Linked DNA regions of Arabidopsis thaliana. The protein of the gene in region 1 interacts with the protein of each later gene in a pairwise test. Each region holds a gene or a part of one and is shown on either strand. Other genes may lie near its edges. The genes, in order: LNO1 and LOS4.

Evidence for each region.
Region 2: the proteins of LNO1 (region 1) and LOS4 interact in a two-hybrid assay, tested with the Arabidopsis thaliana proteins (one study listed by BioGRID).

What each region holds. Positions count from the first base shown.
Region 1 is NC_003070.9:20,736,940-20,747,147, reverse strand, and holds the start of LNO1 (Nuclear pore complex protein), read left to right. Parts: upstream 1-3,973; 5' UTR 3,974-4,098; coding exon 4,099-4,288; intron 4,289-4,369; coding exon 4,370-4,578; intron 4,579-4,660; coding exon 4,661-4,829; intron 4,830-4,937; coding exon 4,938-5,084; intron 5,085-5,353; coding exon 5,354-5,475; intron 5,476-5,622; coding exon 5,623-5,735; intron 5,736-6,149; coding exon 6,150-6,289; intron 6,290-6,374; coding exon 6,375-6,540; intron 6,541-6,622; coding exon 6,623-7,565; intron 7,566-7,745; coding exon 7,746-7,898; intron 7,899-8,053; coding exon 8,054-8,111; intron 8,112-8,651; coding exon 8,652-8,785; intron 8,786-8,874; coding exon 8,875-8,999; intron 9,000-9,119; coding exon 9,120-9,471; intron 9,472-9,613; coding exon 9,614-9,797; intron 9,798-9,917; coding exon 9,918-10,208. Other genes in the region: AT1G55546 (2-C-methyl-D-erythritol 4-phosphate cytidylyltransferase), read right to left, coding at 2,039-2,047, 2,181-2,243, 2,396-2,455, 2,544-2,640, 2,808-2,899, 3,246-3,320.
Region 2 is NC_003074.8:19,680,252-19,691,161, forward strand, and holds LOS4 (P-loop containing nucleoside triphosphate hydrolases superfamily protein), read left to right. Parts: upstream 1-7,488; 5' UTR 7,489-7,617; intron 7,618-7,714; 5' UTR 7,715-7,716; coding exon 7,717-7,953; intron 7,954-8,057; coding exon 8,058-8,351; intron 8,352-8,429; coding exon 8,430-8,657; intron 8,658-8,784; coding exon 8,785-8,850; intron 8,851-9,243; coding exon 9,244-9,642; intron 9,643-9,739; coding exon 9,740-9,848; intron 9,849-9,931; coding exon 9,932-10,020; intron 10,021-10,103; coding exon 10,104-10,172; 3' UTR 10,173-10,410; downstream 10,411-10,910. Other genes in the region: UPL7 (ubiquitin-protein ligase 7), read left to right, coding at 75-637, 812-1,771, 1,849-2,171, 2,287-2,565, 2,678-2,930, 3,040-3,210, 3,326-3,418, 3,497-3,604 and 3 more; AT3G53100 (GDSL-like Lipase/Acylhydrolase superfamily protein), read right to left, coding at 4,738-4,931, 5,084-5,339, 5,491-5,724, 5,805-5,935, 6,051-6,291; VPS37-1 (Modifier of rudimentary (Mod(r)) protein), read right to left, coding at 10,478-10,638, 10,719-10,839. UniProt on the Arabidopsis thaliana protein: ATP-dependent RNA helicase essential for mRNA export from the nucleus. Plays an important role in the positive regulation of CBF/DREB transcription factors.

The DNA.
Region 1 (10,208 bases):
AATCTACATGATCATTGGAAATGATTAACATTCATCCAAAACGTATTTAAATGTTATTGAATATATTAGTTAGAGAAATAATCTAAATGTTATTGATTTGGATGTAAAACATTTTGCTACCTACTATAAAAAATGCCTACGCTACGCAATCAAGTGATATCACAACATGTTTTCAAATACTGAATACTTTGGGGTTAAATTAAATCGTATAAATGCAATGAGGGTTCACCTGTCACGATGGATCCATCAAGGATAACGCAATCTCACTTGCTATATCGTCTGTGGTTAGAGTAAAAGTCTCTTCAATGTCTCTTTCTTACAATCTATCAAATTTTCATCAGAAAACAAAAAGAAAAGTAAGAAATAGATTTTAAAACATGAAATAAAGAAAAGATAAAAAGAAAAATCTTCATAAAGAAGAAAAGATAATGTTAAATCAATATTATCATGTTTTGGAGAAATACGCCAACATAGACCAATGGATGAACAGAAGATTTGTTATTTTTTCCCAATATAGGTTTGACCCAAACATCTATGTGACTAGTAATGTCAAATAATTTTTATTTCGCATGGATAGTTGAACATTGAATAGTGTCACTTTCCATATATATACATAAATATTCGGAAAGTACATTTCGTAACATTTTATCCAAGAAATTAAGGATCTCAGTTAAACAATTGAAACAATTACATGTTTTTGGTAATATATATATCCAACCAAGTACCAAGGTGAATTTTCATATACAAGAAGAAAATTAGAAAGGTTTCTTCCCTAACAGACTTTGAATTTAAATTCAGCAGCTCTTGCAAAAAAAAGGGTTCTGACTGGTTATGGAAGTTAAAACTATTAGATGTTTGTTTCGAAAATATTTTTAAAATTCTATCAGAAGAAAATGAAATGGGTGTGCTGTGTGCATGAAGGCTATATATTCCACAAGTTGACACTGAAAAAATATATTTTCTGTTTCTGTTGTTTTTCTTTCAAGGTTACTTTTGTTGATTTGTTTAAAATTAACATGTCAGTCATTCTGGGAGTTGTCTCTATAAATTTTTCTGTGATTTGTCGATTACTTGGAAAACCAATCAAAAATTCGGCACGTGAATATCTTGCCAACATAGTCTCACCCGGAAAGACCTTTCGCAGATTCTTCCTCAGAATTCGACACATGAGAATTCATCATCACCAGAATCTCACTGGTCAAGATATTCTTACTCCAAAATTTTAGAGCATGTATGCTTTCCATAGTGAGAATTTCCGTCGTATCTTTCTTATTCGATGCATGCATCAACACTGCACCAATAACATATGACTCTGATATTACTCGTTGGGCTGGAAACATTCACCACAATCTTATCAGTCAGTTTTAACCTTAAAAACTCGATAAATCAAGAACACTTGAATCGGAAAGCAAAAAAAAAAACAGAACTAGAAGAAACTTTCATGTATTGTTGTTTGTTTTATCAAACTCAAATCATAATTTGAATGTCTTTTGAATCTGAATTTTGTGGAACTAAAACGTTTTAGACTTTGATGCAACTAGAAAATATAACAATGCATGCAAAACACTTTTACAAGTTTGGTCCCTCCATTTGAACAACTAGAACAAAACTTTTAAAGAAACTCTAGAACACATTTGATTAATACTAACAAGCGTGGGAAGTAAGAAACTAATTTGAGGCATTTGTACATACCATATTGTAATAACTCCTTAGTGTTGTTATTTGTCTCACTGCCTGGGATTGTTGTTGGTGAGGAACAGTGTTGATAATGGCCCATTATTAATGGGTCGCAACTTGCAAGACATATGGGTCTTCACTATTAAGACTCTGCAACATTAAATACATTTCTCGTGGGGTTCATCCTAATATGCATATTGGTGTATGTATCTGTGCCTGCATGATTTAATGACCAGCAAAAAACAGTAATGGTCAAAGTAAATAACATGATGGGAGAAGGTGAAAAAAGAGTTTAAACCTCGGAAGAGTTAATACTGGTAAAACTCTGGGTCTTTCTTCAACGTTCTCAATTATTACAACTTTACAAGTACTACAAACATTTTCGATAAAGACAACAATACACACACTTCTTCAAGTTATGTAACAATCCACATTTGAAAGCAAACCTTACAATATGTAACACATCAACGATTTTCACACTATAAATATAAAACTAAACTTACCTTCAATGTGTTAACAAGGACAGGATCCGAGTTCTGATTTGAAGAAACATCTGAAGACAATAACTGTAAACAGAAGAGAGTACTAAGTAAAGGAGCAGTAGAAATCACAGTAGCCAATGTTCATGACATCTAAATATTAGCAAGAAAGATGCTCTTAACGCCAGTTGATTTAGATAAATTGAATAGTCAACTCATAATGATACATAAACTCTTACCTCTCTGCCAATGAACACGAGTGCAACATCAACAGGTTGCTGAAGTTTTTTCTCCGAGCACTAAACAATGGAGACAATAAAATAGATATGAGAATGAAACCATTGCATTGTGTAAAAATATTTGCTTGCGGACTCAACGCGAACATACCAGAAAATTAGACCAACCTCCTAGAGTGAAAACAGAGTCTACTAGATCCTTTGCAGACATGACTTGATAATTTACATCCGTTTCACCATTAGCATACCTACAATTTCATCAATGTGGACATCAATATAAGCACAATTCCAACAAAAGTTCTCAAACTCTTACACCAAAACCAGAGTACAATAAAATTTGGTAAATTTACTCACATAAGCCTTGAAAATGGTGAAAACAAGGATCAACAAAAAGATAAAAAGAGGCAGGCCTAACTGGAGATGCGGAGACCAGAGGAAAGCAGGAACTGTGGAAGGTGAAGCTAATCCAAAATCCACGAGAGACGCAAACTCAAGAACTACCAACAACTACGCCAGTAGAGCAGAGGTAAAACGTCACCGTTTGCTATAATTTACCCACAAAACCGATGTAGGAGAACCGGTCTGCGTTTAACGGTTGGATTAGCTAAGAGAACCGGTCTGATAATCTCTTGTTAACGGTCTTTGTAGAGGATGTGAACTTTATCTAAGTGTGTTCAAAGGCTTCATATTTTGAGACTTTATATTTTGATTTTCAACTTGGATACACTAGCTAGATGAAAACAATGATGATCCTCTTCTCTGCCTTTTACGTGCGCTTTATTATTCTGTGCTAGATGCAAAGAACAATATCCCCTAGCAATGAATCTTTTTTAGGATATACATAAGACAGTACGTATTGATAATAATTAATGGCAAGCTTCATCAAACAGCAATGAAGAAGGTACTCATCCAATGCAAATCTTGTCATCCTTGTATCGTCCTTTGTAGGTGAATCATCATTAGGCTGCAGAACACTGTTTTCACAGAGAGCGTGTTCAGTTTGATGGACTAAAACTGACCTTATATTATATATCAAGCTCAATCTGCTGGTCTCACGAAAAACTCGTCTCTCTATTGTACTTAAACCCTTACCACTAAATCCCCTGAATGTCTTTTACTATTTCTTAACTCTTGAACTACTGGAATTCAATTTGAGCTCATTTCTTATTACCATGTTCATTTGGAGATACGATAGAGTTAGTTTATCAACTAAACAAGATCACACGATTGATCAACTAAACAAGAAATATAAAACCAAAAAGACAAAGAAAAAGAGTTGAGATCGGAAAGAAGGAGAACGACGATCAAGCCTCACGATATTTATGTTCCTTCGAGACCTTTGGTATAAGCGAATCACATCTTGTGCGGCAGAAATATTGTAAATAGTCTGAATTTCAAAATAAATTACTATATATATATCACAATACATGTCGGTCTGGTTTAGTAAAGAGAACCGGTCGCTGAATCTGGTTCAGCTAAAAGAACCGGTCTGGTGTGTCAGATAAGGGCCAATTGGGCCATTAACACATTACGGCCCATATAAATTTAAATTAACAAACCATGAACCGTCGTCGGCTCATCGGACCAGTGTGGTATCACCGGCACTTGTAATCAGAGAGACTCACTCTCGAGTTTCGTCCTCTCTACTTCCCGCTCAAAATCCTTCGGATTCAGCCATTGAAACAACCTTGAGAAGAGTTTGAAAGATGAGCAGAGTTGAGATTGAAGAAGATACGGAAGGAGATCGCATCTCAACGAACGATTACTACTTCGAGAGAATCGGCGAACCTATCAGTATCAAAGAAGATGATGCTCAATACGATCTCGAAAACCCTCCGTCACAGCCTCTCGCTATCTCAGAACGCCACGCCGTCCTCTTTGTCGCACATTCCTCCGGTTAGTTTTCGTAATCGGCGATGGTAGAGGTTTTTGCTCTGTGCTGTTTATTTACTGTGACCGTTTTGTGTGGAATATTAGGGTTTTTTGTTGGGAGGACTAATGATGTAATTTCTGCATCGAAGAACAGTAACGGGAACGGTGATAAGGTTTTTATCCAGGATTTGAGCCTCGTCGATGTTCCTGTTGGGGACGTTCGTATATTGTCTCTCTCAGCGGATGATTCGATTCTCGCTGTCACCGTTGCTGCTGATATTCATTTCTTCTCTGTGGATTCACTTCTTAAGAAGGTACACGTCTCAGAAGTAGCAGACTAGCTGGATTGCTTTGTTGATTGATAGTTTACTTACTTAATCTGTTCCTTTGTTGCAGGATGCAAAACCTTCTTTTTCTTATTCACCTGATGAGTCAGGCTTCGTTAAGGATTTTCGGTGGAGAAGGAATGATAAGCATTCTTATCTTGTTCTTTCGAATACTGGGAAGCTCTTTCATGGAATTGATAATGCACCCCCTAGACATGTTATGGATGCTGTTGACGCCGGTTTGTTTCATCTCTATTGCTACTTCTTCAGCAAAAAAGCATGTTTTTGGCAATTATGTAAGATCGACTCTGTAGGAATTTACTTGTAAACTTTGTTTTGTTTGTCAGTTGAATGGAGTTCAAAAGGGAGTTATATCGCTGTAGCTCAAGATAACAGCCTTCGGATTTTTTCGTCAAAATTTAATGAGAAGCGGTGCATAGCACTATCATTTGACTCTTGGATTGGTGATTCCGATGAAGACTGTTTCGTGAAAGGTATGTTGCAGGTTTTGGCCTTCTTCTTTCTTACCAGTATTTTCCGTTTTGTTTCAAATTTCATTGTTGTTGTAAGGTATTTGAGATCTTTTCTTATGGACTGAGTCATACTGTATTCTGGGGCTTGGTCGTGATATATACAAACTGATCCTGTTGAAATTTCTCGTTTCCTGCTATCTCCCATCACACTTCCATTACAAAGGTCATAAATGGCTCTCAAGTTAAGCCCTCTCAATGAATGACTGTTTACTAACAATACTCTGCAACAGTTGATTCTATCAGATGGGTACGCAACAACTGTATTCTTCTTGGATGCTTTCAGCTGATTGAAGGCAGGGAAGAAAATTACCTTGTTCAGGTTATCAGGAGTCCAGATGGGAAGATTTCTGATGTGAGTAACATTTCTATTGCATTGATTTTGCTGCTGAGGCGTAGATAGTTAGGCATAACCCCTTTTCGGATGGAATAAAACAATAGGATCTGTAACTTTACTTATATTTTTTTAATCTGATTTGTGAGTTTTTGAACTTCTTTGCAGGGTTCAACCAATCTGGTTGCTTTATCCTTCTCCGATTTGTTTCCATGTTCTATGGATGATCTTGTCCCGGTCGGTGTTGGACCTCATTTACTCTTTAGCTACATAGACCAATGGTACGTCAGGCTAATTTTACTATTCTTTCTATTCTTTTTATTTTGATTTCTCTTTTCATAAATACTCCACTTTTCTTGCTCGCTGCTAGCCATTTGTCATTCTTTCCCACTGTATATGGAATCTTAAAGTTTTTGTCCATACATAAACTATCTTGGAAGGGCTGTAAATTACCAAGAATGTTCTAACGAGAATGGTTTTCAAATACAACTAACTATGATACGTGTTCCGCATTATATACTAGAATTAAATTTGAGCTCATATTATATTTATCCATTTCGTTTGGAGATGCAACAAAGTCAGTTTAATTGTTCCTGACATTTCCTCTTTTTATATTAATAAACGGACTATGTAAACTACCACTATTTTCGATGTGAAGATGGTAAATGTTGCTGTGTTTTCACCTCACCCTACAGCAAACTGGCGGTCACAGCAAACAGAAAGAGCATAGATGAGCATATTGTTTTACTGGATTGGTCATCTGGTGATGATAAAAGTGCAGTTTCCGTTGTTGATATTGATCGTGAGACCTTTTTGCCAAGGATTGGGCTCCAAGGTATGCAGTCCATAGTTTCTGTATTGTATGTGTACTTTTCCTACAATGACACGTTCAATATAAAGAAGATAATTTGTTTTTTCAGAAAACAACGATGACAATACGGTCATGGGACTCTGTATCGATAGGGTTTCTATAGAGGGGACTGTTAATGTCCGTTCCGGAGATGATGAACTTAAAGAACTTCAACCATATTTTGTTCTTGTGTGCCTCACTTTGGAAGGGAAGCTGGTCATGTTTAATGTTGCTAGGTAGGCTTTATTTCTCTCAGTGGTTTAACTCATTGCTGTTGACAACATTACTTAAAAAACATTAATTTGTTTTCCCCGACAGTGTTGCAGGACGGCCAGCTTCATCTGATACTGATTTGGCCTCTTCTTCTGATATAGAAGATGCTTATACCCCTTTGATTGAAGATGACCTTTCTAAACAATCTTCTGAAAAACATCAACAGTTGAATATTGCAGTACAAAATGATCAGAAACACCTCAACACAGAGAAGTTCTCTACTGAACAAAGGTTGCCAAATGAAAACATTTTTAGCAAGGAATTCGAGTCTGTGAAAAGCTCAGTGTCTGGGGACAACAACAAGAAGCAAGAACCGTATGCTGAAAAACCGTTACAAGTTGAAGATGCTCAACAAAGCATGATTCCTAGGTTGTCCGGAACAAGTTTTGGGCAACTACCCATGTCCTTAGGATATGACACCAACAAATTTGCAGGATTCGGTCCTGCTCTCCCTGTTTCCGAAAAGCTTCAAAAAGACATATTTGCGCAGTCCAATTCTATGCATTTGCAGGCCAATGTGGAGTCAAAGAGTACAGCAGCTTTTTTTGGATCTCCTGGCCTGCAGAACGCAATTTTGCAGTCACCGCAAAATACGTCATCTCAGCCATGGTCAAGTGGGAAAAGCGTCTCACCTCCAGATTTTGTATCTGGTCCCTTTCCTTCTATGAGAGATACTCAGCATAAGCAATCTGTACAGTCTGGAACTGGTTATGTAAACCCTCCTATGAGCATCAAAGATAAATCTGTACAAGTTATTGAGACTGGTAGAGTATCAGCGCTGAGCAATTTAAGTCCTCTGCTAGGCCAAAATCAGGACACTAATGAAGGGGTAGAGAAAATTGAGCCAATACCTTCTATCCGTGCCTCTCAATTGTCACAACAGGTGAAATCTTCCTTCGAAAAATCAGCCAGTCATCAGCAGCACAAAACTCCGCTCAGTACTGGACCTCTGAGACTTGAGCATAACATGTCAAACCAACCCAGTAATGTAAGGTTTACTCATGAATTCATGATAGTAATTAGTTTCTCAATGATTTTTTCGTGTGGATATGTTTTTTCCAGGAGAGAGTCATCCGACACTCATGCTTTCACAATCATGCCTTGCTGTAGTATTTTACTTACTGGACTGATACCATTAGCGTAACTGACTCTTCCTTTTTTGCACCAGATAAATGAGATGGCCCGAGAAATGGATACACTTTTACAGTCCATTGAAGGACCGGGTGGTTTCAAGGATTCTTGCGCGTTTATACTGAAAAGCAATGTTGAAGAACTGGAGCAAGGACTTGAAAGTCTTGCTGGCAAGTGCCAAACGTGGAAGGTAATATGTAAAAGTTCACGTATTTTGTTATTGGTTCATATTATTTTTGGATTCCCTCTTTTAATATCTGACCAAACCACCTTCCAATAAAAAAAATACTGTTGGTGATTCTGGTCCTTCTAAATTGCTAACTCATTTGGTGTGGTGGTCTTCAGAGCACAATTCACGAGCAGCAAGCAGAGATCCAACATCTTCTTGACAAAACAATTCAAGGTGATCTATTTATTTTACCATCCCCATATGTAGCGCAAAAACATTGTTAGTAGGTAGAATTGTGTTTTACTTGAAAAGGTATTCTAAAGCCGCGAGGCCCGTAAAAGGCAAACTAGGATTGTTGTAAATTTATATTACTTCTAAGCACTGTCAGTGATATCTAGAAATTGAGGCAAGTTTAACTTTCATCCCCATTACATCATTAACCCGCCAGACTTCAACTCTCAACCTAAATTGAGAAGTTTAGAAGAAGGGAACGAATCCTGATACATGCACATTAGTCTCATATCTGATATTTGTATATGATGGTGATAAAGCGTGAGCTCCAGTATGATAGTCAGCATAAGCGTGTGCTTTAGATGAGGTTCTTGCATTTTTACACATGTTTCTCTGGAAGTCCCTAGACTAAAGTTTGTTCTCGTTCTTTTGGTCTTCCCTATTATATTCAGTATCGTTTTCATATCTTACACTGGAATCTAAGCTGCAAATTAGCAGGTTGTTATTATGTTTTCTTATTATTGTTTCATGTGGGGATTTCAGTTTTGGCAAAAAAGACATACATGGAAGGTATGTATAAGCAAACTGCTGATAACCAGTACTGGCAACTTTGGAACCGCCAGAAGTTGAATCCTGAGCTTGAGGCCAAGCGGCAGCATATAATGAAACTAAATAAGGTTTTTTACGTGTTGATATATCTCCCTCATCCATCTGTTACTACTTTTAGCTCGCTGTTGTCATTTATCTTCTATTTTTCTCATTCTAGGATTTGACTCATCAACTGATTGAACTAGAGAGATATTTTAATCGGCTTGAACTCGATCGCTACAATGAGGATGGTGGACATCCTGTGGCACGAAGAGGCGTGCCAAATAGGTCTGCTCCTTCAAGGTATTCTATTGGATCAGTTGTGAAAATTTTAAGGAAGAAAACACCATCACAAGAAATACTATAAGTTGGTCAAAACGTCCCCTTTTTTTGCAACTCATATTGGGTTGATTCTTTTTGCAGACGTGTGCAATCCCTTCACAGCCTTCATAACACAATGAGTTCCCAATTGGCTGCTGCTGAGCAACTCTCTGAGTGTCTCTCAAAACAAATGACATATTTGAAAATCGATTCACCTGTAAAAAAGAATGTGAAGCAGGAGTTGTTCGAGACAATTGGGATCCCTTACGATGCTTCTTTCAGCTCACCAGATGCGGTAAAAGCTAAAAATGCATCTTCAGCAAAAAACCTATTACTCTCTTCTATCCCCGCAAGTATAAATCAACAGTCAAGACAACGTCAGTCATCTGCTATGAAAAATTCTGACCCTGAAACTGCTAGGAGGAGAAGAGAATCACTAGACAGGGTAATTTTTGTATGAAATCTTTGACTCAGTACTAGCCCTCACGGTATATGCACATATTCTCTAGTATATTAAACTGTGAAGAATTTATATGCACTCCTTTATTTATGGTGTATCCTGACGTGTGGCTCTACTTTTTGTGATCTATTTACAGAATTGGGCTGCTTTTGAGCCTCCAAAAACAACTGTCAAAAGGATGCTTCTGCAGGAGCAACAGAAGACGGGTATGAACCAACAGACTGTCTTGAGTGAGAGACTACGGTCTGCGAATAATACACAAGATCGATCACTGCTTCACGTGAAAGATCATGCATCACCTGTAGTCTCCTCGAATAAGGGTGAGCTAAGATATACTGCAGAGTGCATTAATTTGATCTCGAAGAATGTTTTTGTGTTTCATTTGTTTTTTATATCTACTATATTGCTTCTCTGGTTTGATTGTGTAACACTTTGAGCAGGTATTATGGAATCATTCCAACAAGACACATCTGAAGCTCAATCAACCCCATTCAAAACGAGGCCACCTATGCCACAATCTAACAGTCCCTTTACCATCTCTCCAATCTCTGCGTCAAAACCAAGTTTCAATTGGTCTGGAAATAAGTCTAGCAATACAACTTCTTATGCTGAGGAATCTGCCCCATCGCAGATTAAGGATACAAGGACAGTTTCACAACCAGGGGGATCAAGTTTTCTTCCGAAACGACCAGTGGCCTCGACTGTACTTGAACAGACAGAAAAGAAGGCTG
Region 2 (10,910 bases), on another chromosome or scaffold:
TTTTTTTGTCTTGCTTTAATTTGAATTGTTTGTCTTGCAAATAAGGAGGGAATAAATCTTGTTGTCTTTTGCAGATCAGGGGTACAATTTTTGTTCACTAGCAGTTGGTACATCTGAAGATAGTAAAACATGGGCCTGTCAAACACGAAGGATGGTTTCTCTCTGCTCTTTCCTTCTCACGGAGTGTAATTATTCGCAGGAAAGGATAAAAGATGTTATTGGTGTCAATGCCCTTCTATTACGTATTCTTATTGTTTTAACTGATCCCAAAAGCTGGAAGATTATTACAAATGAAAACTTTGAAGATGCAGAAACAGCTAAAAAGATAATTATTCAGTTTATAGGGAGCTGTAAAAGTGGATATTACTCAGCAGTTCGGAGATATATCAAGACATTAACCAAACATACAGACGAGAGACTAGTGATTACTACAAGTGCAGTAACTTTGGCTCTACGACCATTCCACGTGAAACAGCCTGCTTTTGTTGATGACAACCAACCGGACACGAATTTGGCTGTTGAAGAATATGTTTCTCTAATACTGACGATTCCTCGGCTTGTTTGCTACCTGCCAAGCGCTCTCATACGTGCACTGAAGCACAAGAGCATACTAATGCCAAGCTTTCACACCATATTGGTAAAACTCATATCATATTTTCTTAGACCAATTAATTTCTTCTTAAAGTCTCAAATAGGATGTAGAGAGAATTGGCTGACTAGTTTTAAATCTCTGTTACTTTTTTCGACGAACTAGTTACTTATTTTTTTCAAAAAATCGAAGTGCTTATTAAAGTGTGGCAGGTGACACCAGCTTTTGAAGGACAAAATCTTGAACATAATATCGGAAATGGAGAATTCAGAGAAGCAAAGTTGTACCATGGAGATACCTTCTGTTGGATGGGTTATCGGGAACATCATATCCCTCGCAACAGTTAGTGAAACCGATTTTATGGATCCACAAGAATCAAATCCAGAGATGTTTTATGTCTTGTATGTTCATGTTATTGTGACTCTCGCCGAGAATCTATTGTCTCAGGTTGAAAGTGTTGGAATTCAGGATATTCATCTTGATATTGAGGCCACATCGAATGAGACAGAGAAAGGAAATTCAGTTAAGATTTCTTTTGTGGAAATGCTTCGACCAGTATGTCAACAGTGGCATCTCGCAAAACTGTTGGCAGCTTCTGGGAAAGAAATTCGTGTTATAGCAGATAAAGATGCATCAACGAGTAGTAAGAAAGGATCAGAAACACTAGGACTGCTTGATATAGCACGATTATATTCATGCATGTTGAGAATCTTCTGCGTGATGAATCCTGTTCTAGGACCTTTGCCTGTCCTTAACATGTTATCCTTCTGTCCTGGATACATTGTCTCTTTGTGGAATTCTCTAGAGAGTGTCCTACTCCCTGAAAATGGTTGCACTGCTGACGATGCATCTCATGGATCTGCTAAAACTTCATGGAATACAAGAAGTCCTTCTGAGAAGAAATTGAAACATCTCAAGAATGACAGTGTCAACAAGTGGGTGAATGTGCTAAACAAGTTTTCTGGTAAATCACCGGGACCACGTGAACATGTGGAGTGTACTAGTGATCAACCAGGATCAGGCCAGGTTAATGAGTCAACTAATGATGTATGGGATGTGGAAACTCTGAGGGGTGGTCCTGTAGGTATCTCCAAAGAAGTGTCATGCCTGCTTCATCTATTTTGTGCAACCTATGCACATTTACTCGTTGTTCTTGATGACATACAGTTTTATGAAAAGCAGGTAAATATGCTATATGGTTTCCTGCAGCTTATATGTCATTAGTCTGATATTTACTAAAGGTTTGTTATGTCATATAGGTCCCCTTTATGCTAGAGAAGCAACAGAGAATTGCATCAATGCTTAATACACTCGTGTACTATGGATTGTTGCGAGGCACAGGTCCTGAGAGTAGACAACTGATGGATTCTGCTATCAGATGTTTGCATTTATTGTATGAAAGAGATTGCAGGCACCCTTTTTGTGCTTCTGCCCTGTGGCTCTCACCTGGTAGAACTAGTAGACCTCCAATTGCATTTGCTGCCAGGACTCATGAGGTTTTACCAACCAGTGATGTTCTTACAACTCCAAGCATGGGTTCTGTTATAACAATTACTCCGCATGTCTTTCCATTTGAGGAGAGGTAATCTTACGTTGATTACCCTTCATAGCCTTTCCATGTCTTTTATCTTTGTGCTACAATAACTTCTAACTAACTTTATCTGTTGAATGATGTTCATGTTGTGCTATCCCTGCAGGGTCCATGTGTTTAGAGAGTTTATAAGCAAGGATAAAGCTTCAAGGAAAATGGCTGGTGAAGTGGATGCACCTGGTGCGAGGTCAATAGAGATAGTTGTTCGTCGAGGTCATGTGGTTGAAGATGGATTTCAACAACTGAATTCAATTGGTAGCAGGCTAAAATCATCCATCCATGTCTCGTTTGTGAATGAATCTGGCCTTCCTGAGGCTGGCCTAGACTATGGTGGGCTTTCAAAAGAGTTTTTGACTGACATAACAAAAGCAGCTTTTGCTACTGAGTAAGCTCTTCTGTATGTATGCATACTTTATTCTAGTCTTTGTTGTTACTTGTTCCAGTGGATTAAGTTTTATTTATTTATTGGTATGTCCATTATTTTTCTTTTCCAAAAGGTATGGGTTATTCTCGCAAACCCCTACTTCAGATAGGTTGCTTGTTCCTAGCCCATCTGCACGGCACCTTGAGAATGGGATTCAGATGATTGAGTTTCTTGGAAGAATTGTTGGAAAAGCTCTATATGAGGGAATACTGCTGGATTACTCTTTTTCACACGTTTTCATCCAGAAGCTTTTGGGGCGTTATAGCTTTATTGATGAACTATCAGGGCTTGATCCAGAGCTCTACAGGAACCTCATGTATGTCAAGGTAAAAACCGTTGCAGGTGATATATCTGTCGCCTCATATGTCAAAATTCAATCTTGTAATAAGTATCACAGGAAAGGGTTTCTGAGATCAAGACTTTGTTTATATGCAGCATTATGATGGTGATTTGAAGGAACTCTGTCTGGATTTCACAGTCACTGAAGAGTTTTGTGGAAAAATGAGCATAATTGAACTCAAACCCGGTGGGAAGGATACTTCAGTCACGAATGAGAACAAAATGCAATATATTCATGCAATGGCTGACTATAAACTTAACCGGCAGGTATCGTCTTTTTAACGTTTTATAAATAATCTTAAGGTCAATCATCCTGCAAAACAAAAGTTACTTCATAATTAATGAGGTAAACATGTTGTCCTATGTCTTGTCTCCAATGCAGATTGTGCCCTTTTCAAATGCATTTTACAGAGGATTGACTGACCTTATATCTCCTGCTTGGTTGAAACTATTTAATGCCCATGAATTTAATCAGGTGTGCGGCTCTAATGTAATGATTTCTAGATTTTTTTCTTTTGTACAAAGCTATTGTCTCACAAAGATTCCTTTACAGTTACTCTCAGGAGGAAACCATGATATTGATGTTGATGACTTAAGGAGGAATACAAAATACACTGGTGGTTACAGTGATAGCAGTCGAACAATCAAAATCTTCTGGGAGGTAATAACTCTTAATCAGAAGTCCTGATCTCTACGTTTTCTTTCTATTCTGTTTGCCAATTTATGACATATGCTGAGAGTTTGAGTGCGGCTTGTATAATTTCTCTCTGGGCATCCTGTCTCAGGTCATGAAAGGCTTTGAACCGAGTGAACGTTGCTTGCTCCTCAAATTTGTGACTAGTTGTTCTCGGGCACCACTCCTTGGTTTCAAATACTTGCAGCCAACCTTCATCATCCATAAAGTTTGTTTTTGAACTTAAGCTTAGAAATGTATGTTTGATATTCTGTTTGGTAATTTTGTTTTCTTACTTTTGTGCTTTTTCATCTTCTGCAGGTCTCTTGTGATACCTCTCTTTGGGCTGCTATTGGAGGACAAGATGTAGAAAGACTTCCATCTGCTTCTACGTGCTACAATACTCTTAAGGTGAAGTTTCAATAGTCCAATTATCTTTGTAGTCTACATGTGAATATTCCTATATCTTTTTTGTTCAGTCTTTCTTTTTGGATTTCTTCAGCTTCCAACGTATAAACGAGCAAGCACTATGAGGGAAAAACTATTGTATGCGATTACTTCAAATGCAGGATTTGAACTCTCGTAGAGACCTCTAACCAGGTATTCATCTTGTTATGCACCTAGACCTTTTATCCTTTATTCTATTCAATGTATATGGCTTCTGTCAAGTTAAACTAGTAAGGCTGGTGTAAACAGTGTGTTTGGTTTATCTTAAGATTATGGGAACTTGTTTCTTCTTGGTAGTTGTATATGAATATATGATAATCAACTAAGCTGAAAAAATCTTCTTAAGCTTTACCAAAATTCTTGCTGTAATCAACCTTAGAAATGTTAAAGAGGTAGATTCGGAACAAAAATAAAATACCAAAGATTGTGATCTTCTCAAACAAATCTTGGACCTATAGACCCATCAGGCCATCACACAGTGACACAGACCAGATTGGTAGTTTCTACATTCAGTCACACACACGCACACACAATCTGTCTCTTATTTGTGAGTTACATATATAGAGAGAGAAAGAGAAAGAGAGAAGAGAGAGAGATAGAGAGAGAGAGACAAACTTTGGTAGCTATTTGTAGGTATACAGTTTGAATTCAATCCAACTGGAATGAAGCTCAATTCAATTGATTAGAGAAATCCCTTGACCCAGTAGTTGACCAGCCAACAGCTCGTTTACAGCCTCTGTGGGATGAAATCCATCCCAAAACACATATCCTGTGGCATTTACACACGTTCCGAAGGATAGAGAATTGCAAAGGAACGATGTTTCTATTGTCCCTGTTCCGCAGCATGCCCTTTTTGTTTCAAAGAATCCTAGAATACATGTAGTTTAGACATTTAATAAGATGTTAATGGTATCTTGTTAGTTGCTAACTAGATTAAATATCTGAGTTCTTCTTCCTGTGAATAGCTCACTCTATCATGGTCTAAAGTTGAATGAGGATTTAGATTTTGCAGGTGTGTACCATTGTCAGTTGGGTTGGTGATGATGTCCAGGAAAGGTTGGTAGACATTAAAGGCGACGAGTCTGAGGCCTGAGTGTCTATTCATCAGTAACCGGGTTGTGTTCTCAAGTTTAGTATTGAACATGATAGCATCATTGTTCAGTCTCTCAACACAACTTTTGTTTCCTGCACCGAAAAGAGTGATAGCTGCAGGCAGGCAACCCATCGGCGGTAGCGATATCACTCCGATTCTCCTTGCTCCTAGTTCATACAGATTCTGTTACAAGTGACAGTATGATTCTTGTTCACACAAAAAAGGGTAAATAACTGATACGATTTTTTTGTGTTTCTTGTAAATTTGCACATTCATATGGTTGCCTTATTATGAATATCGAGTTCTACAAGTTCGTTACTAAACTTAGAAGTACCTGGATGAATTCTGAGAAGGATCTCAGGAGAATGTCAGCGAACTGATCAGGTGTATTTAGGATGTTGAGTAGAGGATTGATGTAATAATTCTGAAGAAAGTCGCTAGATCCCGCACTCAAAATGTGGATACCTCTAGAGAACAGTATGCGCGCGTTCCCCCTCCCGATCATTCTCGTTACTCTATTTTGATACGCCCTGTAATAGCTCAGCTGTCGTGTTAAGGAGATCGAGCCCTGCAAAAGGAAGAGTAAAACCTTATGGATCATTTCTTGGGTATGTGTGTAATGATGTTTGACTGTGTTGTCTCCTTTACAAATGGAACAGATGTGGCATCATAGTATCCTGAAGAAGCTGATGCAAAGTTGGCACCGATCAGGATATTCTCGTTGCTTGCTTCCCGGCTTAGGAATGCAGGTGGGTATGAAGAGAAACCAAGGTACTCGGCTAGACACAAGTAGGCAGATTAAAAAACCAATTAGATTAGGAAGAGAGAAAAAGTATTTGAAGGTAATACTTGATGGAGAGATAGATATATGTGGTTTTGTGAGAAAGACTTTACCTGAGAAATCTACAGCGAGTTTTCCGTTGCAGAATCTTCCGGTGGGTCTTTGGTCGATGAAGTCTCTACCGTAAGGAAGAAAGTTGGATTTGACAATGCTGAGTAAGTTATTGTTGTTGCCAACGTCAACAATGGAGTCGCCAAACATGATGAGTGCAGGAACAACAGCTCCTTTGGATTTGCAGAAGAAACAAGAAACCAAGAGAAGAACTCTAAACCCCGAAACTCTCATCTTTTGCATTCCTTTTCGTTCCTGTCTAATGCAATCAGGTCGTTAGGACAAATAGAGAAGAGAGAGAAGCAGAGAGAAAGAAATAGAGAGTAGTGGTGAGAAAATGGAGACTTAAGAAGATGATGCATGTTATACAAAATATAATCATTCTCCCCATGCTTATGTTTAAGATAAAGAAAACGCATTTGCTAGTGCAATAGAGTAGGTGGAAATTGTTTATGAGGTCAGTCTCTTTGGTCATTGATCATGGGACCATGATCAGTAATATCTTTGCATCCTCGAACATAAACTTCCGTCATATCGCGAAATTTCAATTCGGGCCACGCGTGGAGGCTTTGGTTTGAAGGGTAGCTCTATCAATAAAAATATGGGTATTGGGGAAATCATCTAATCTTGATTGATTGATTGCTCAATACTTCAATAATCTAATTTTGGTTTCTGTTGAACCGTTGGAGGCATGAATATAAAATTCTGATAGGATACAGTTTTCTTGATAAGAGATGATATGTTTGAGGAAATCAAAGTGTGAGCTCCACCAACTTTTAGTTGTTGTTCTTGTAATAATGTATTGGGTAATGTGGCATCCACCTCAAAGATTGTGGTTAAACCATCATGGTTTTTTCTTTTCCTTTCTTCTTTCTTCTATTGTGCTTAAGCCATCATGGTTTATTTCCTTTCTTGTACATAGAAAAGTCATAAGCTTTTTAAAAAAACTTATGAAGAATATTACAAGGAAAAAACAAGAGTTTGGGCCATATCACCACCATGGAAGTAAAAATCTCTACTTGGTACAAGACCCAAATTAGTAGAAAATGGCTTCTTTTGTAACAAATTTGGACTGTTGGGCCATATTGTTTTGTTTATACATAAATTAAAGCCCAAAATGATTTAGTTGGGTCGTCTAGAATAAACCGAACTATTAAAAAATCATTGGTAGAGTCGGTTATGTTATTTCAATTGTGGCTAGCATGAAATTAAGTTCAATTATTTTACATTTTTACTATTAAGCTTCATATTCTTACGTCGAACCGAATTGAAATTAGAGAAAACAGAAAGATAAACCGAATTATAAACAAAAACAACATAGACTAGAGTCGGTTTAATCACGTGTAGCTTATAAATTAACATCAGTAAATTTCCATTTTTACTAGCAGCTTGAAATTAACGTCAGTGATTTTTACAATCCTTGACTAGTAGCTTCAAAGTAAAGCAGCAACTCTTATTTATTTGGGGTTTTCACTTTTTCCCCAAAATTGTCTCCGACTTCAAACATAACACAAATCGTTCATCGTCTTCCTTCTCTCTCTCTGATTCTCTCATTCGCGAATTTCAAAGGTTCTACTTCTCTCAGAATCTCAGCTCTTTCACGAATCAATGGAGAAGTTAAGATGAATTTGGGTTTCTAATTTGATTGGTTTTTTGTTGGCTACAGCTATGGCGGATACGGTAGAGAAAGTTCCCACCGTTGTTGAGTCATCTTCATCATCCACCGTTGAAGCATCTAATAGCGCCGAGAAGACTGAGCCCACGACGGAGAAGAAAAAGTGGGGCGATGTTGAAGATGATGATGATGAAGAAGAAGCTGTATCGGAGCTTAATTCATTGAGCATTAAGGAAGAAGAGAAACCTGATTCTATTCTTGAGGAACCTGAAGATTCTAACATCAAAGCTGTATTACTTCAATTCCCTCTCTCTCTTTGATCCTAATTACAGTCTAGGGTTATTAGATTTTCCAGATTCGTTTGGTTGATTTTGAAATCTGGTGTTTTTTGAAGGTTACTTCTGGTGACACACCATATACATCAGCAAGTAGATTTGAAGACTTGAACTTGTCACCTGAATTGATGAAAGGCTTGTACGTTGAGATGAAATTCGAAAAGCCTAGCAAGATCCAAGCTATTAGTTTGCCTATGATAATGACGCCGCCACACAAGCATCTGATTGCCCAGGCTCATAACGGATCTGGAAAGACGACTTGTTTCGTTCTTGGAATGTTGAGTCGTGTTGATCCCACATTGAGAGAGCCTCAAGCTCTCTGTATTTGTCCCACTAGAGAATTAGCTAATCAGGTTTGTTTAGTTACTCTGATTTTGGTTATGATCTGAGAGTAATCTGATTGTTGACTTCTTTTAATGGTTGAATGACAGAATATGGAAGTTCTTCAGAAGATGGGGAAGTTTACTGGGATCACTGCTGAGTTGGCTGTGCCTGACTCAACGAGAGGTGCACCGGCGGCAACAAGAGGAGCTCCTGTTTCTGCTCATGTTGTGATTGGCACCCCTGGAACGCTTAAGAAATGGATGGCATTTAAGAGACTAGGTCTAAATCATTTGAAGATTCTGGTTTTTGATGAGGCTGACCATATGCTTGCTACGGTATGCTCTTTCTTCTGTTTTACTTGGTCTTGTTATTTTCTCAACTGTAATGATTTAACTTCTGTATAATGTGATTATATTTTCCCTTCATATGTTGTTGATAATTGTTAATTCATTGCTGTTGCAGGATGGGTTTAGGGATGATTCCTTGAAGATAATGAAAGACATTGGGAGAGTTAATCCCAATTTCCAGGTCTGTTTAACTAGTGTCTGATTTGGTCATGCTTCTTGAATTATAAGTAGGATGACAGTTGATATCTAGTGGCATATCTATCGTGATATCTAGGGGGCACAAGATAGTCTACTGAGCTTATAGTTATACTTGTTTCAATGTTCAGAAGCTCTTAGTAAATAGAAGCACCTCAGCTGTGTTTTTTTCTGTTGTTTAGAGCCGTCATATCTTAAGATGACATATATGTCTGTGCTAAAATGATTATGAATATCTTCACTGCAGAAAGCTGTACTAATGACTGCTTGTGTTTCACTATATTTATGGCTGTTAATCTCAATTCAAAGGAAACTCTTTTTCTTTCTTTCTCGTGCTAGATTTGATTGTGTGCTTGTGTTCTTGACCTATTTTCAACAGGTTCTTCTTTTCTCGGCAACTTTTAACGAAACTGTCAAAGATTTTGTTGCGCGGACAGTCAAAGATCCCAACCAATTGTTTGTCAAAAGAGAGGATCTGGCTTTGGACTCGGTGAAGCAGTATAAAGTTGTTTGCCCGAAGGAGCAAAACAAGATCGAAGTCATCAAGGATCAGATTATGGAGCTTGGGGATATTGGGCAAACCATTATCTTTGTGAAAACAAAAGCGTCTGCTCAAAAGGTGCACAAAGCCCTTGCGGAAATGGGATATGACGTTACCAGTGTCCATGGTAATCTGACTGAATCGGACAGGGATAAGATAGTTAAAGAGTTTAAAGAATGCCTTACTCAAGTGCTCATTGCTACCGATGTCATTGCAAGAGGTTTTGACCAACAGCGGGTAAATATTGTCCTTTGAGCCTTTTCCTTTCTTCTCGTTTTACCTCAAAGATGCTTCGTAGTTAATACCTCTTGTTGGTTATATACAATACTTGCAGGTGAATTTGGTTGTCAATTATAATCTTCCCACTAAATATGAAACTGGAGAGCCAGATTATGAGGTGTACCTTCACAGGGTTGGGAGAGCTGGCCGGTTTGGTCGCAAAGGTGAGTTTTGATTCTTCTTTTTTTCTTTCTCAAGTGTTTCCATAAGTTCTTATCAGTTTCTGAACTATGTATTTGTATTGTAGGAGCGGTTTTCAACTTGCTGCTTGATGATGGCTGGGATAAAGAGGTGATGGAGAAGATCGAGAAGTATTTTGAAGCAAATGTTAAGGAGGTATTATAAGATTTCTGAAAACTGCTATATATCTTTCAAGTGTTTGTTAAAACAGTATCCAACGATTTTAAACTTTGCTGCAGATCAAGTCGTGGAACTCAGAGGAAGAGTATAAGAGTGCATTAAAGGAAGCTGGCCTGCTGGACGAGTGAGGAAGAGAGACAGCATGTGTTCAAACCATCTTAAAAGACTATGTCGTCTGTTTTCTTGAGATTGTTTTAAGAAAGAAACTTGTATACCTCTTTGAGGTTTTCTTGTAATCTTTTTATCTGATTGCTGAGAGTTTCAGACTTTGTAGATTTTTTGTTAAGGGAAAAGGAAAACATTTTTTATGTCAATGTCAATCACTTTAGTATGAACCTAAACAGTAAACAGCAAAGCATTTTTTTTACAACAATGGGTAAGAGTCATAATACACAACCAAAGTCTCGAATTCAATGTGTAAAGCTTTTTAATCTCAAATGTTTGACGTTTTAGCGGCAAGATGGATCAATGCTCGTCGATGATAGGTAGTACGAAGCTTCTTGTATTTCTGCACAAATGCTGCTGTATCAATCTCCTTCTCTAGGAACTTTTCTTGCAGGGCTTCGGATTCTTCATCCACCTGATTCATAGCCTCTGCAAAACAAGTAAAAGGTGTTTAGAACAGTAGAGAAAATGAGACGAGGGGAGAATCCATTGCAATGGTAAATTGTTACCTTGAAGTTTATGAAGAAGAGAACCAGGGGAGTAGAATTTGAGGATCTCTTCTTTTTGCCTCTCAAGCTCATTAAGCTTTTCTTGCGCAGTTGCGAGCTCAGTTGTACGGATAATTCTGCACTGTAAAATAAGTAAAGACTGGTAAATCAGAGATATCGAAAAGGTATAACATGGTAAAACTGAACAAGAAA